Linked DNA regions of Lepisosteus oculatus. The main gene of each other region encodes a partner of the protein of the gene in region 2 in a complex. Links are inferred from orthologs where the notes say so. Each region holds a gene or a part of one and is shown on either strand. Other genes may lie near its edges.

What was found. Proteins that work in one complex are often made in the same cells at the same time.
Region 1: the proteins of dkk1b (region 2) and kremen1 are in contact, whole or in part, in a crystal structure (PDB 5FWW), measured with the Homo sapiens proteins. The link is inferred for Lepisosteus oculatus from reciprocal best matches to the Homo sapiens genes DKK1 and KREMEN1. Residues at the interface, in NP_036374.1 of Homo sapiens: Cys189, Leu190, Arg191, Ser192, Ser193, Cys201, Arg203, Trp206, Ser207, Lys208, Lys222, His223, Arg224, Arg225, Lys226, Gly227, His229, Gly230, Leu231, His261; in XP_011528731.1 of Homo sapiens: Pro67, Asn88, Asp90, Asp92, Ser94, Trp96, Gly105, Val106, Tyr107, Trp108, Tyr110, Asp127, His128, Gly129, Pro132, Thr140, Asn142, Glu164, Ser165, Tyr167, Ala168, Phe170, Asn189, Val191, Phe193, His196, Asp203, Gly204.

Annotation. Positions count from the first base shown.
Region 1 is NC_090717.1:3,974,863-3,982,564, reverse strand, and holds the start of kremen1 (kremen protein 1), read right to left. Parts: upstream 3,123-7,702; 5' UTR 2,785-3,122; coding exon 2,718-2,784; intron 1-2,717. UniProt on the Homo sapiens protein: Receptor for Dickkopf proteins. Cooperates with DKK1/2 to inhibit Wnt/beta-catenin signaling by promoting the endocytosis of Wnt receptors LRP5 and LRP6.
Region 2 is NC_090699.1:21,996,663-22,004,566, forward strand, and holds dkk1b (dickkopf-related protein 1b), read left to right. Parts: upstream 1-4,975; 5' UTR 4,976-5,588; coding exon 5,589-5,801; intron 5,802-6,046; coding exon 6,047-6,188; intron 6,189-6,412; coding exon 6,413-6,559; intron 6,560-6,703; coding exon 6,704-6,954; 3' UTR 6,955-7,301; downstream 7,302-7,904. UniProt on the Homo sapiens protein: Antagonizes canonical Wnt signaling by inhibiting LRP5/6 interaction with Wnt and by forming a ternary complex with the transmembrane protein KREMEN that promotes internalization of LRP5/6.

The DNA.
Region 1 (7,702 bases), on a different chromosome or scaffold from region 2:
TCTCATGGAACAATAACAAAAACATGCTACCATTCGGTAGCTTATCTTTTTATTCAGTCATTTATTGCACACCCTGGCCACTGGACAAACAGACATGACATGTACAGTAAGACTTTAACTGAATACATGATTTCTCTTAATTGCTATGCTTTATCTCCCCTTATCATGGTTGCAGCCTGATCAGTCATTAACTAGAAATGATTTGTTATAATGAATTAAAAAATTAAATTTCCTGAATTTAAGGACTTAGGTGATTAATTTGCCTTTAGGTTAATAAAAGATTCAATTATAATTTTTCATCTGGAGGCAAATCCAAATTCTTGGCTGCTGCAGCATAGACAACATAAGAACATATTAGCACCAAGGAGCAGTAGAACTAATAAAATAAATGGCATTATAATTCCCTGCCAAGTTCCACCAAATCTTACAAGAGACTTGTTGACATAATTAATTTCATATCCACCTACCAATTACAAGTGCCTTTAAAATACAAAAAAGGAATTCATATTAGATTATGTCCCGCACCAGCAATTTAATGATTACATTCAACTAAGTAATATTTAGAGCGCAATAAATGCTAAGAGACAAAAGGAAGTCATTTGGCATATCTAGCTTGTTTGGTTGTTAGTGGCTTTATTGATCTGACAGTCTCAATTCAACCATTTCTCCAAACACAGGATGCCTTCATCAATGTGGCAGAGAAGCTAAATCCAATAAAAAAGAATCACTTTTTATTAGTAATCTAATTCTAACTACTAGATACAAACAGTAAACAGTAAAAAGTAACTTAACTGCACATTTATGAATGGCTGAATAGTAATGGAATTTTCAATTGTTAGGAAGAGTAATGCTTCAGATGTCAAATGCAGTTACTTGCCAGCACATTTTTAAGCAGAAAAGGCAGCACAGAACGTGAATTTAATAGCAAATAATAGCAAAATCTTACAAAAATGTGGTGGACTTATTGCACACTTGCGTTACTTTACAATAGGCTTTTAAAAACTGCAAAACACAATTTCAGTCAGAACTGAACTGGATACCACTTCACACTATAGATTTCTTACTTTGTGTTGCATGTTGGCCCATGTGAGAAACCGTATCTCTTTCCTAACTTAAAACATCCACATACAGTCATCAATGTGAGTTTGTGTTACTGTATGTACTGCAGAAAATTTGAATATTCTGCTCTAAAGCAAAACAGGAACATGACTTGCTTCCCTGCAATTCTATTATGCAACAAACAATTTTAATAAAAATAAATATTCACGTGAAAATAGACAATAACAAACACAACCGTTTCATTCTAAATTTGTAGAAGCTTAAGATTTCCCCCCCCAACATTAAAAAAACAGAATGCCGTAGCTTTAAATACATTGTTAATACATAGGTACAGATGGCAGCAGTTAGGCAGTGCCCAGATGGTGAAACCTCTAATTTGAATCAAAGGCTATAATTAAGAAACAAAAAATTAAAAAGCATAGCATGAGGATTTGCTTTTTAAACATGAAACACAACACAAATTACAGCAAGAGAAGTTTGGTTTATGTGGTCGTTATTAAATATTTAAATGAACAATTTCTTTCTTCTCTAAATAAGCTTCATTTTAAAAAGAAATTCATTTCCATATGTGCAATTTGGAAAGGCTATATCCTGCAGAGCTTTCTGTGTCTTGCGTCTCAACAATAGGTTTACTGAAGATGACTTCTCGTATGTCAGTTCGTGTGGAACGACTGGTTTCTCATCAAAGGTTTGAATACGTACTAATTTTGTTCATTTCCCTGTCTGGTGTCAATAATTTACAGTAGGGCTGTACTTAGCTAGTGTCTTGTTCTTAAAATTACTCAAGTACAAATTCCGATGACATCTGATTTTATTTGGCATACGCATGACATTCATCTAATTATTATCGTAATATAATGTATTTGGAAATAAAGGCGGACTGGACATTATAAATCGTGATTAAAAAAGTGTTTTTAATATTGCTGTAGAATACCACATGGAGTAGTCCTGGAATGAAAACCAACACACCTCCCTTCCAATTTTAAGGCCAAATAAACAGTGTTGCAGTATTTAGAAAATTATCATTACAGAACATCTGCCTCTCTTGTCTCTGTACAGTACTATGGAAGAGCAGCATTTTCAGATCAGTATACAGTATACACTTAAGATAGTATACAAAAGTATCGTGTTTTACATCTGCAGTTGCCTCAGTTGGTGTGTGAACTGCACATCAGATGTACAAGTACATTTTGAAGTGCTTCTGTCACCCCTTTTGACAACATTTCCATCGCCAAAAGAGAAGCAAAATTAAAAATTTGACGCATTAATTCAACGTGAAAATGAAGACCCAAGCATATTTTAGCTTTAAGCATACATTAATCGCGTTTCAACCCCTCAATCCATTTTCAGTCTGCCAGTCTTAGCGAGGGTCGCGGTAGAAGTTCAATATTAATAAAATGACCATCAGTCACTCGTCGCTTTGATATGACAATACTAGACCAAGGCGTGATAAATGTTGACACTTCTCGCCACTCAGCTACAATTGTGTTACAAAATAACGTCAGTTGTCATTTACAAATTAACAGGAAGACGATAATGCATGCTTGAAAAAGTTTGTTTTGTTTAATTTTAACTCTGCAGTCCGGAGGATTAAATTGACCGTTCACGCTAATAAAACTCCCCGGTAGCTAGCGTCCGGAAAGAAGTTACAAACTTACCCGTTTCAAACTGAGCAGAAGTTGGGAGAAATCCAGCCAAAAGGATTGCAACTGTCAACGATCCCATCGCTCAACTTGAGAAGAGAGGACAGACGAGGTGCTCTTTCGTGGAGTCTGAGAAAGGAAGAGTCGCAGGTGACTTGTTTCGGACACAGCACGTCTCCGATCTGAAAAGTCAAGTCGCGAATGGTTTAAGTTAAAGCCAGCCCGGACCGCGTCTGATCCCCCAGCTACAAGGCAGATCCGAACCACACAGACAAGAGATAGTAGAAAGCAGGGATCCTATTTCTAATCATGTGACAGGAAATCGGGGCCACAGCTTCAACCTGCAAGATTGGGCATAGAGCGAGCGGTTTGCTGGCTGGTGGTATTAGCAGCGGGTTAGAGCTGGCTGTCAACAGCGAACTGCAGTTTTAGTGCTTGTGCGCAAGCAGTATCCGAATGGCTAAAATACCAGTTAACTTAAGCATCGCCGTAAAAAGGACTGTCAGTCTGGGGAAACCAGGAATTTCCGCTGAGACCGCGTTTGTTAATGTTTAAATGGAAGCGTATTGAATAACCTAAAGAACCAGTGTCTTTATCGCGTTTTAATAGTATGTTTCTAATTGATTCAGGAATAGATTTTCCTTCCCTTTTTAATATGTGGATTGCTTTTATATTCTTGTTAAAAAGCCAAGTCGCGACTCTCGTATGATTTAGCTAATCCCAGCAGCCCAAAACATTTTCTTTCACTGAAAACAACCCTGGGCAGCTTGTCTGCACTTGATAGCATTCAGTCCCTTGTTCACAAAATTGTGCAAACGGGATGCCTATGGACTGTTATAACAAGGCGTGAAAAGTAATTAATTCGCTTTCGAGATTCTAGTGTAGAGTGATTGAGGTACGTAGGAAGGTAGGGAAACGGATACAATTAGCTCCCGTATCTACTGTATGTATTGAAGGTATGTGTTGTTGTAGTTGTTTCTACACTAACACCCAGGCAAATTAAAAATGTATCATATCCTTTATTATCCAGGCTGCTTACTAATGAACCTGTCTTAAGGGTCATAAGAACTCTGGACCTTGACCTAAATAGGAAAACCAATGGCCCAAACCATTCGATTGCATACCTATCTATCACACTAAATGTAATCTACACTTGGATTTGTGAATTCACAACACTGAATTTTATTGTTTTTTTTTAAGTTTAACCGGTGAATTATTGCTTTTCCATGTAATTGCCTCAGCGCCTGAGGAAAAGTGAATAGGGTGATCAATTGAAGGGGCTGCTCGTAAGGAGGATATTGTAGTGTTCAGATTTCAAAGCCTTCTTTGCAGAACAGGATAATTGAAGGACAATTATCATTGTGCTTCAGATGGGCAGAATCCCATCATGAGCTGAACTATCAAAGCTTTTTTCGTGAAAAAAATATACTCAGATCAGAAGATAATTACGCGTATGTCTATGGGATTGTAAGGATTATACTTAAATTAATAATGTAATACTGAAGTGAAATGCAAATAAAAAAATAATTACTCAGTGGTATACAAGTTATCTACCCTTATGCTTTAGAAATGCTCAGAAATATGTTCAGGCACAGAAATGAGACATCGTTTTCTTTTCATTTCTTTATATTTTAAAGCTCAAATCTTGAGCAGTATTAGCATTATTTGAACCATATTTCAATGAATTCCATTCAAGTATGCTATACGTATCCCTCTTGTGGACATTGTTTGTATTACAAGTGTAATTGAACTGAGGGTATGAAAATTGAATTTTTAATCAGTAGAGTAGTGGAGATTAAATATAGCTGATTAATAGAAGAATTTAGCAGAGCTTGAAATACGTTTTTTCCATAACCACAGAAGCAGTAAAATAATAAAAAAATTAAGAAACTTGGTGTTCAAATCAAGATTTGCATCATCTATTCATTATGATCAGAATCGTTATTGCAGTTAGTTTCAACTCTTAACCCTGAAAAGAAGAAAACATTAAAACAAATAGAATATTTCCACCCAGACTAATCATTATTTGGAGAATGGTCCTTGTGTATTAAAATAATTGGTATATAAACTAAATTAATAACATTTAAGGCATCTGAAATGCTTTCCTTTTTTAAAATTAATCTCCCTTACAATGCACTACATGGAAAACGACCCTGAGCAATTCATCTCTGTATGTACTAGTATGAATTTCTAGTAGAGCTGAAAAAAAAACGCATCCAGTTGCTTTCATGGAAAGGCATTTTATAGAGTACGTTACCTAGATTAATCATTGGCAACCAAGATACAGTGTCTTAGATCACTGTCTACTGTACATAATTTATCCATTCATTCAATTGAGTTTAAATTGAGAGCACTTCCATTGTCATTGACGTCTGAGACACTGATAGCCAGGGGCTTTTGTCTGGTGAAATTTGTTTCTTCTTATTGTCACTTCAGGTTCAGATGACTGCATGAACTGTCACTAGAAAAGGGATTTAACGTGTTAGGAAATTGCAGTAACATGGGATGAAATATTTTCCATATATTCCCACTGCTATTTCTGTACAGTATGTAACGTAACCATTTAGAGGAGAAAACAATATCATCTTTCATTCCATAAATAATATATTTAAGAAAGCGTACAAAGTCTTGGAAAATAATTATTGGTCAACCCTAGATGGAGACGCACAAAATTTGATGTTACATTTCACAGACCACAAACATGGGACAAGAAACAATAGTTAAAAACAACAACAAACAATTTGTACCATACTTTTTGTTTTTCACAGCAAAATTGGAGGGAATATCTTTTATTCTTTTGACATGATCTCACAGAACGATAACCATTTTTCGTTGAATTTGTGCAAGGATAAGACAGACATTTGAGAGAGACAGAGAAAATGCTTGCTTAGGAAATGAATATAAAGCTGTCTGACAAACGTGTCTGAACCTGTCTGCGTCAGTGGTTTATTGCGTTTATAGTGTCACCTCTCTTTTTCTAAATTCTCTTTTGTGTAACATGGCCAGGCCACTAACCAGCCCCAGCCGAATTGCTGTGCATTGACAACTGTTTTTCAGCTTGGCTTTCTTTGTCCAGTTATATGTGTTCTACATGGGTGCAATTCTTCATGTAACTCTGACGTCTGTGTTATGCATTTAAGCATTTTTTCCTTAAATTGCTAGTACACTTTCGTGTGCTATGGACTTTGAAACCCTTTTAACTTGCATTTACATTCAGTAATAAACTACAGATTTAATTGCAGCAGTTTGACCAGTAGATTAAAAACGGCCAAGTCTACATGCTACTGCGTCTTGGCCTTTTCCCGTAGAAATATTATATACCCACTTCAAAAATATGCTGTTCCTTAATCAGGTTTCACCTTCAATGGTATCTAATTGCCTCCGCATGCGGTCCGTTCTTTTTTTGACCCACTTCTTCGTGTTTATTTTGATATCCTCCATGCCATCTGGTCCGATCTGCCCCTGTTCATTTACTCAAGGGCAACATGTCAAAAGGAATAACAGGAGATGTACGCTTACTAAAGGATTATTGGAAGCATGACTTGAGGAAAAACAGAAAGCAATTATCTGCTTATTGAAAAAAAATGAGAAAAATGTTTTCACAGATTATTCTGGAGTGGGGAACGATGTTGGTGTTCAGTCTTCGTGTTCCAATAACAATAACATTGGCAGTACCTCGAATTCCATGCAGCCATTCCCTCTGCACGATTAGAGATGTTCATCAAGATGTTCAGCTATACTTTACAGAAATTTCTTTAGTGCCATCTAATATCAAATGTTACTTATTTCCCCCCATTTTGTACCCATGAGTAAATGTTAAATTTCAGGAAAATATTATTTTTGTAACAAAACATTACTGCTTAATTTCATGTGATGTATCAGCATTGTAAGCTGTACTACTGTGCTTGCTCCATTAGTGAGGTTTTGCGGTACAGGATAGACACAGCTGTGCTTCTCAATTAAACAACATTTGCTAACATGAGATGCACTGACCTTGTGTACAAGGTCAAAATCATTTCACCATTAGGAGCAAAGGCCTTTTCTGATGTTTCAAGTCTTATTAAACCTGGCATTTAATCATACTAATTCTTGACGTCTTGCAATGAATCAGCATGAGTCTGGTTCATACAGTACATCTGTTCATATGTAAAAAAAAGCTTCCACCATAAATCTGTCCCCACACATTTTCCATCCAGTTCCAGGTATGTTGTCTGATCTGGTCTATGCCTAAATTCATTTGAAGTTGTGAGTAGGAAATGACTGTGTTGACCCTCATCACAATTTTAGAGACTTCAGTCAAATTTCCCTGAAGCTTTCTTTGTTCCTGGCCAGGAAGGTTCACTCCTCTGAACCTGCATTTATAAATCATACCCTTTAGCCCTGGGATTAGTCAAATTGGTATTGCTCCTGGTCTCTAATTAGTGAATGTTGACACCCTTTGGAATGTTACATGTATCTTTATTGTAAACCAGCTTCCTTTTACTTTAAGGTTAGGCAAAGAGGTAATATAGAAACACTAAGGAGGGAAAAGACTGAAATTTGCAAACATCTGTGCATCTTGGGCAGGTGCAACATATCCCTCCTACCACAGACAAGTGAACCCCAAAGGCTTGCTTTTGGAAGTCTGTTGATGACCCAGAGGTAAAGCCATTGAGGTCTTATACACTAAATTATTATATCATGATGCCCCCTACAAATGACTGTCAAACTATTTTTACATTGTTGAACCTTCTTTGATGTGGGCGTGAACATTTATTTGTTTGTAAACTGGAACTGAAATAGAGTTATTAGGGGATACTCAGCTGCATTGTTTGGGATTATATCCACTGGTCTCTGTAAGCCTTATTGTCAAATCTGATTGGCAATGAGTTGATATGAACTCACAAGTCACTGGAGCAGAAGGTCAACACAGCTACATTCTTTTCTGTGTTTTCCAGATCCTTTTGTCAGGTCAGGTAATAAAGTATAAAATCGTGTTGCTCATTGTTACACAACTCTTA
Region 2 (7,904 bases):
CATACAAAGTGGGTAGGAATGTAAATTTCTTGTTTTTCTTAGTCATTTACCTTTGTGAGCCATGTAAGTGCTTTTCTTCAAAGCCTGTAATAATAACAAATGTGATTTGTAACCTTAGGTAGCAGCCGCCTCTGTCAGGCAGCCTGACGAGGATTTTATTGCACAGCTAGAGAGAAGGCACAATCAGTGCTCTGTTATTGAAGAATTCTAAAGGGATTATAATAAGTAGCTATTTGAAATAGTATTCTGTGTGCAATTATTGAAGCCTGTCACAATAAGTTAAAAAAATTAATACCTAAAATCTAAGAACAGTTCTATCAATGAAAGATGGCAATGGATATTTAGGCCAAGGCAGAAAAATCAAATACATGCAATCCCCAACTATTTTTCTTGAGGGGCTATTGTCAAAAGAAGGCATGAATTGTAGAGCAGCTCAGTCTCGGCACTGCACAGCATAATAGGAATATTGCTTTAAGTAGCTTTCTTGTATATGCAACTCATTTGTGATATGTATAAGAATAACAGTGATAACAGTTTTATTCTTTTCCATTGTCCATTGCAATAATGTAGTCATGTTGCTGGAACCATGAAAAAGAAAAACGTTTCAATATATGATTTTGATTAGAGAAGTTATTTGTCCAGTGTACAATAGCTACTTGCTATATGTTAGTGTGTTAACCTGTTTCAGGCTATTTTGCTCGCTGTAATAGTTAAATGGGGAACTTTGTTTTTTTTATCCACAACAAAACTCATGAAGTAATTATCAGTTGCATTCAGTGTTGCCTAAAACATTTCTTTATTGAGCTGCTTTCATCTTATTCTGTATTCTCACTGCAACTTTAATTGCAGAGTGCCTGTTGTATAACTTTATGAAGCTAAAATAAAGACAAGTTACTTTTGGACACTTCTTGACTGCATTTATTGTTTTCACGTTATCAGTGATGCTGAAATGTTTCACTGTTTAAAAAACTGTAATTCTTTGAGAATTAGACTCCTCAGACAGTTTTCACCCTCTGGTCCACCATTAAAAATGTCATTTTTTTGTCTTCAGCATTCGGAGTTCAGAGTACCACAGCCCCAGAAAACTCTCTCCTGTCTTCACAGAGAAGGCTCTGGAGGCTCTGAAGGGCAAGGCCAAGGGAAATCGATCAGCTAGTCAGGAGGAGAGTGCATGATGGCCATTATTCCCTTGCTACTACTGTTCTGGGATCAAACAAGAGCAATTCAATCTGCAGGCTACCAGGTTGTAGCTGTCAGTGTGATGCCTTGTAGGAAAGCTATATACATTTTAGGTGTGGTGCTGATTCAAGTTTAAAGGTAAAGCTTTACAGTAGATACAGTATGTATCTTCTTACGTTCTGCTGTTTCTGTGAACAAGGGGAAGCTTTTACTCAGCGTAGCCCACACCCTTGGCTCCTCTGTCTTTTGTGTTCTTCCAAATAAGCACATATCCAAAACCTATGATGGAGTTGAGATGAAATCCATTGCATTGTGTCATGGCAGCTTTCTTCACTCTGTGTATTTCATATAAGGCACATCACGGCTGAATTATGAAGGGTGGCTGCTCAAAGTTTTTAACCCCTTACATCAGGGCACTAAAATCAACATGCCCTTCAGTAGCAGCTTTGTCTCCTTTTTTGAGAAACATAATGCAAATATCCATTTTATGCTTATATCTCAATTTACAGCCCATTCAAAAAAGCTAATCATACTGACTCGTCCACATCTTTCCTTTCTAGGAGTACATTCTTTATTTTGTTAATTGTTGCCGTTGTCCTTTTATCAGTGCACTTTTCACTCATCCCAGCTAATTTTTTAAACGACTGACACGTTTCCTGTTCTATCACAGCTGATGGGGTTAAGAGCATCACTCATTAGCTGCCGTCTTCGGAACTTATAGGTATGGAGCTTTGTTTTTGCAGTGCCATCAGAAATGAAGCCGTAGTTGTACCGATATTTAACGCTTATCTCCATCCTTTGGTCTCAACGAAACTGTAGAGACAGCCGTATATCGATATATCATTACAGAAACAAGTTTGTGCTGGATATGGGACGTACCACGTCAGAAACCTCCACCCCCAGTCGAAGAGTCTGAAACGTAGAGGTGTATTTCCGTCAATTAACAACGCAACTTGTATTCGGATGGATTAAACATATCAGAATTCAGTTAACAATTGGTACTAAAACGACAGAACTAGAATTTAAATCAGTAGTACACGTTTAGAAAAGTGTTACCACCAATTGAAGTCTCGGTATAATGGAAACAGCAGTTCTATCAGATATGATTTACTATTTTCAAGAAAAATTAAATGAGCGGAGCTATCAAAACATTAATATTTACTAGAGTTCAGTCCACTAGATGGGCCAAAATCGTATTTTTATGTGCAGTGTGGTATCTTAGTTTTTCTGTGATATTTAATATGTTCTGCTTGTTTCAGTTAATACTAAATTATTATGAATTTATTTACCACTCTTTTGACGTGGCTAACTAGTAAAGCCTATTGTAGTATGAATGGATTAGGCGGCAAGAAGGCATTTGAAAACAAGATTACCTGGCGTCCAACCAGACGAATTTGCTGAGCACAATGTCTGTGAAAACCTGCTAAAAGCCGAGTAAACGGACTGTTTGTGAAGATGCCGTGCCTGCTAAAGTCTGATTAAGACATGGGGTTCTAGTTCTGTTTGATCTCCTCTTCATCAAAGGCTCCTTAACACAAGCTACATTTTACACTACTGTAGGCTTGGATGTACTGTTAAAACAAAGCCAAAGACCAAAGAATTCGGGTGAATGCTGCCAATTCACGTTTAATGAAGTGTATTGAGCATTTGTCTTGTAGTTGCCTATTATAACCAACCTCTGTCAACAGCATCACAAAGCCTTTTTATTTAAGAGGTTATCCAAAGTATCAGGCAGACATTCTCTTAGAAACTGTTAAATCGTTAGCGCGGTTTTGTGGTTACAAACATTTGGCCAATGGAACTAGTCCAGTACGTGTCCTTTTTAATCACGAGGAGAGATATACGGACACCACAAAGCTGTTATTTAAAACGCAAGTTCATATCCAAGTAACAATCAGTTACGTTAAAAATATTTACACGGATAAGTAAATCACGCACCTTTCGATGTGTTAACTAGACAGGAACTGAAAGAGCTAAGGGCTATTACTGACTTTTTGAGCATATATATTTGACAGTATGACAAACGCGCAAAACTCACATATCTTCAGATTAATCATCCATTCTTCCATTGAATAACTCGGTAATAACCTATTTTTTCCAGTTTTTAGCCAGATACAACAGTAGTTAGGCTTCTACCTCATCTTTCACATTCTCGTTTTTAACTTAATAAAACTCTTATTTTGTATTGTGTTTTAACTCGAGGAGGGCCTCCTGTATGTATATATACACTATATGGTTAAAAGTACACACTAATGGCTACAGATGCGACGCATAGTTGGACTGGAAACGTTTATTTATTGTGTGAACCTTTACAAAAGAAATTATCCTAGGATTTCTTGAAGGTAAGAAAAAATGGCAACATAAAATGTGTGGAGAACTCTTGGTAGCAACTGCTTTTAAATATGTATATGTATATTGGCAGCATAAACCGTCAGAGGCTTAAGTGGTACTCCTATTCAACTTTCTGAGCGCCTTTTCTGACCGTAACTTTAAGAAAACAAAAAGACATTTTAATAGCTTCTCCGCGACATAGTATTTATAATTTGTTATGGGTTTGCGCACACACTTCTGAGACTATCCTCTATTATTATGTGCCGGGATATAACGCTTTGAGCAAGAAGCGCGTCAAGCTCTGCTTTGTATCCCTAAAACTGTAGGAACACACTTAAAAGCCCATGCCCTTTTTTTCTGTCTGTGCAGTCTTCTTACTATTATTCTTATTATGCCGCCAGCGCATGTTTTTGTCCTCTTTGTCTTCGGGCGAAAACCTTAAGATAGCATTTACAAAAATCTTCAATTGTATTAGATGGAAAAGGGATATCGATATCAACTTTATTATAAATAAAACACGATAGTCACTACTTCAAGCAGTTTATGTAGCAATAAACATTTTTAACAAGAAAGTTATGTGCGCATAACGGACAGCCACACGTTGTTCTACTACTTGTAAACAGGACATTTGTATTTGATGTCTTTTCAAGTTGCAAGTAATAAATTAGTCCCAATAGTTTTTAAAACTTCATTCAATGATAGGTTTCCCGGTTATACAAATATGCAGCAGGCTATCCTGTTTGTGTGCAATTAATAGTCACATCAGCGAGGGAATGAGAATGTCATTGTAATTACATTTTACAGTGATCAACACCATAAATAGCAGATGTCGATCCATGTCAAGGTTAATACCGACGGGTATGAAGTTGTGGTTGATGAGAAAAATTCCTTTCAAGTTGAATATCTGCGCCTTTTCATGTTTTCTGGATCGAGCCCTGAACTGAAGTTCAGAGAGGCCGATGCCAGTTCCTTATCGTGGAGTGCTAATCAAGCCATATTTGTTTTAGAGCACTTAGGCTAGATGATAATTAATTCGGTAAACTTTTCACTCCCAGTGATTTGCATATCAGCCTTTGATCTTCGCCGATTGTTGAATCAAGTGCATTTCAAAGTTTTCTCATTACAATAACGGATCAAATGCTGCTAATGGACCGAAAATGACTTGAATAACCTCCCATTACAAAACTTTAAGGACTGTCTGGGTTACTTAATTTACTTGACCGGTTCTTGGTTCTTGACAGTTCCTCGTTATTATTATTATTCATATTATTATTATTCATATTATTATTATTATTATTATTATTCTTATTATTATTATTATTTAATTTCGGTTCGGAAAGCGGACGGATGTAAAATTGGAAGAATGACCCTGTTCTAACGTCTCGTTTAATGAGAAAACATGATTCTGTACCTTTTGTTAATACAGACTAATAAAATAAGTGATGTAACATTTCAACAGGATACTCAAGTTCAGCTGTCATGCGCAGAAGGAGTGGGATTAAACTTCGTCAAATCACGTTTAAACAGTGGTACAGATAAACAGTCTGGGTGTGTGAGGGGAAAGAAAAATACAGTAACTGTAGTTAATGTTGACATAAAATAGAAAAAGCAAATGCCATAAGCCTTTTAGGAGGTTCTCTTACATTAACAATGGGTTTAATTATATCCCTTAAATCCGAAGCGAAGTATGGGCGCTGCTTCCAGTGTATCAGAAGATGTGTCGGTGCGTGATTGATGTAATCTCAAGGAAAATCATTGATAATTATATACAAACATCATTGTGAAATCCCAGGAAGAGAATTCCCTTCCAATAGGTTAGTTTCTGTGGGAAGCGCCAGGAGTCCAATCTCTTTGAAATTTCATCCCTGCCTTTGTTATACATAGCTAGGGGCGGGAATGCAAACAACCCCACATGTATAAATCCAGCAACAGAACGAGTGAATCTTCAGAAAAAAACGGGAAAGAACTGCACCGTCTACTCGACCTGAACGCTTACAGAGGACTATACTGCAGTTAGATCGCCAAGGGTGACCAAGGAGTGTGCCTCTTCCTCCCGATTGTAATTTCACAGTTTAAATATGCATTTGGCTACAATACCAGTGCTTTTAACTGCATGTTTCGGGCTGTACGGCTATTCGCATGCTGTTAACGCGGGGTCCGGTCTGTTCAACTCCAATGCTATCAAAAACCTTTCCGGCGGTGCGCCGAATCCCAGCTACCCGGTCAGTGCAAGCCCGGACATCCTTATGTACGACAGCGGCAACAAGAATATTGGCGCGGACACCTTTCAGGTAAGCACCTCTGCAGTTACTGTTGAAGTAGTTGGGAGATGGGGGTCCCTATTTATAACTAGCTCCACAAAATGTGAAGCATGACACAGGCTTAACAGTAACAGGAGTATCGCATTTCATTCAACTTAGCAACTTGCTATTTTTTGCAGATGTATAACGGAACAGTAGCTTTTTTACTTTCCAAAACATGCACCTATACATAAGGACCATTACCTTACCAATACTTTTTTTTTTCTCTTCTTAAGAGTTACAGCTGCTTGGATGATGAGGAATGTGCCGTTGATGAATACTGCCTCGGATCCCGAGGCGTCTGTCTCTCCTGCAAGAAACGCAGGAAGCGCTGCGTCCGGGACGCTATGTGCTGTCCTGGCAACCACTGCAGTAATGGTGAGCTCAAATTTTAACACACTGGAACAATTAGGGCAAGATTCTTCGAAACGCTGGCATACCATAGTCTCTTAAAACGTCTTGATTCCCAGTTTTATGGTGCAGCTCAACAAACTTTCTCGGGGGGGAGAAACGAGGGGCTTTTAGAGTTTCCAACGGGCATTTTACCATCAAACTGTACCTTAATTTTAATTTTGTGTATTTAACCCGTGTTTCTCCTTCAGGACTGTGTTTGCCTAATGATCCCGACACTACTTACCACGCTGTGGTCGATGACACCATCCCCGACCGTCTTGTTGATGAAGATCAGTTCACGGTGGAACCTCATCCTAGACGAACCATCGTACCCACAGGACCTCAGTCGCTTAAAGGTATGGGTAACAACTACACTCACGAAAGCAAGACTGAACCGTAGACCTCTATGCAAGGAAATGTGGAAGCAAGCATGTTTTGTAACTGCGCAAAGCACAAACATACGGCCCCGAAGAGCTTAACATTTAACTTTGCCTTTTCAGGTCAGGAAGGCGAAGTGTGTCTGAGGTCTTCAGACTGCGCAGAAGGGCTGTGCTGCGCTCGTCACTTCTGGTCCAAGATCTGCAAGCCTGTGCTAAAAGAAGGACAAGTTTGCACCAAGCACCGAAGAAAAGGAACCCATGGTTTAGAGATATTTCAGCGCTGCGACTGTGCAGATGGCCTGGCCTGTAGAACCCAGCAGGGTGATCACAGCAGCAAAGCATCCAGACTTCACACCTGTCAGAGACACTGATCAGTCTCGCAGCGGATATCGGACGATCTATTTTTACCTATTCTAAGGACTGATTCTTTGGTCAAAGTGTTTCAAAGTGCTAAAGGAAGAGTTTACATTTAATACTCTGTTTTCTTTTTATCTCTCCCAAAATAGCAGAGTAGCATTGATCGTTTCTCTTTTACGGAACTTCAGCTTCACAATAATTGCAGTAAATTACTGTATTGTAAATATTCGGAGTGGCACTTACGCTGTAATTATTTTTATGTCAACAAGTATTTTAAGAAAAAAGGTGCTGCATGGTTATCCTAAACATTCTACTATATTGTAAATTTGTAAACAATGTAATATTGCTATTTAGAATATGAATATAAATGCCTTTATTTTTATTTTAAATAAAATGTAAAGATATTTAAAACATTTTAAAAAAGTGTTTCATTAAAACATAATCAAAATTGGCTTATCCGTTCATGCACTTATGTCACACGAGAAGCAAAAACCTAGTTAAACACCAGTATTTATAACTTTTTGAATGGATCTTTGTGCTTTAGTTACAAAGTTGAATGTCTGAATCCAAAGGTTTTGACATCAACATTTACAATATCAAATTTACAAACTAAGATATAAATACATTCCAGTGAGCTGTGTGCATTTTGGAAAAAAAAAACATTAAAATACATTTCAACAAGATACACTCTATACCATTGAGCTGTGGTGGATATAATGGAGATAATACTATACACTGATACTTGCTTATGATTACATTATATACAAAATGGGCGTGCAAGCTGGTTACAGTGAAATACTATCATGAGACTTCATTTAACAAAAAGCTTTTATTCTGATTAAAACTAAAATTAGTTGTGATTAACAAGACTTTACCCCATTTTACATGTTCCTGATGTACAACCAATTAAACATGGCACCTCAGTGAACACCATACAGTATGGCCATTTAGGCTATTTGTAGAA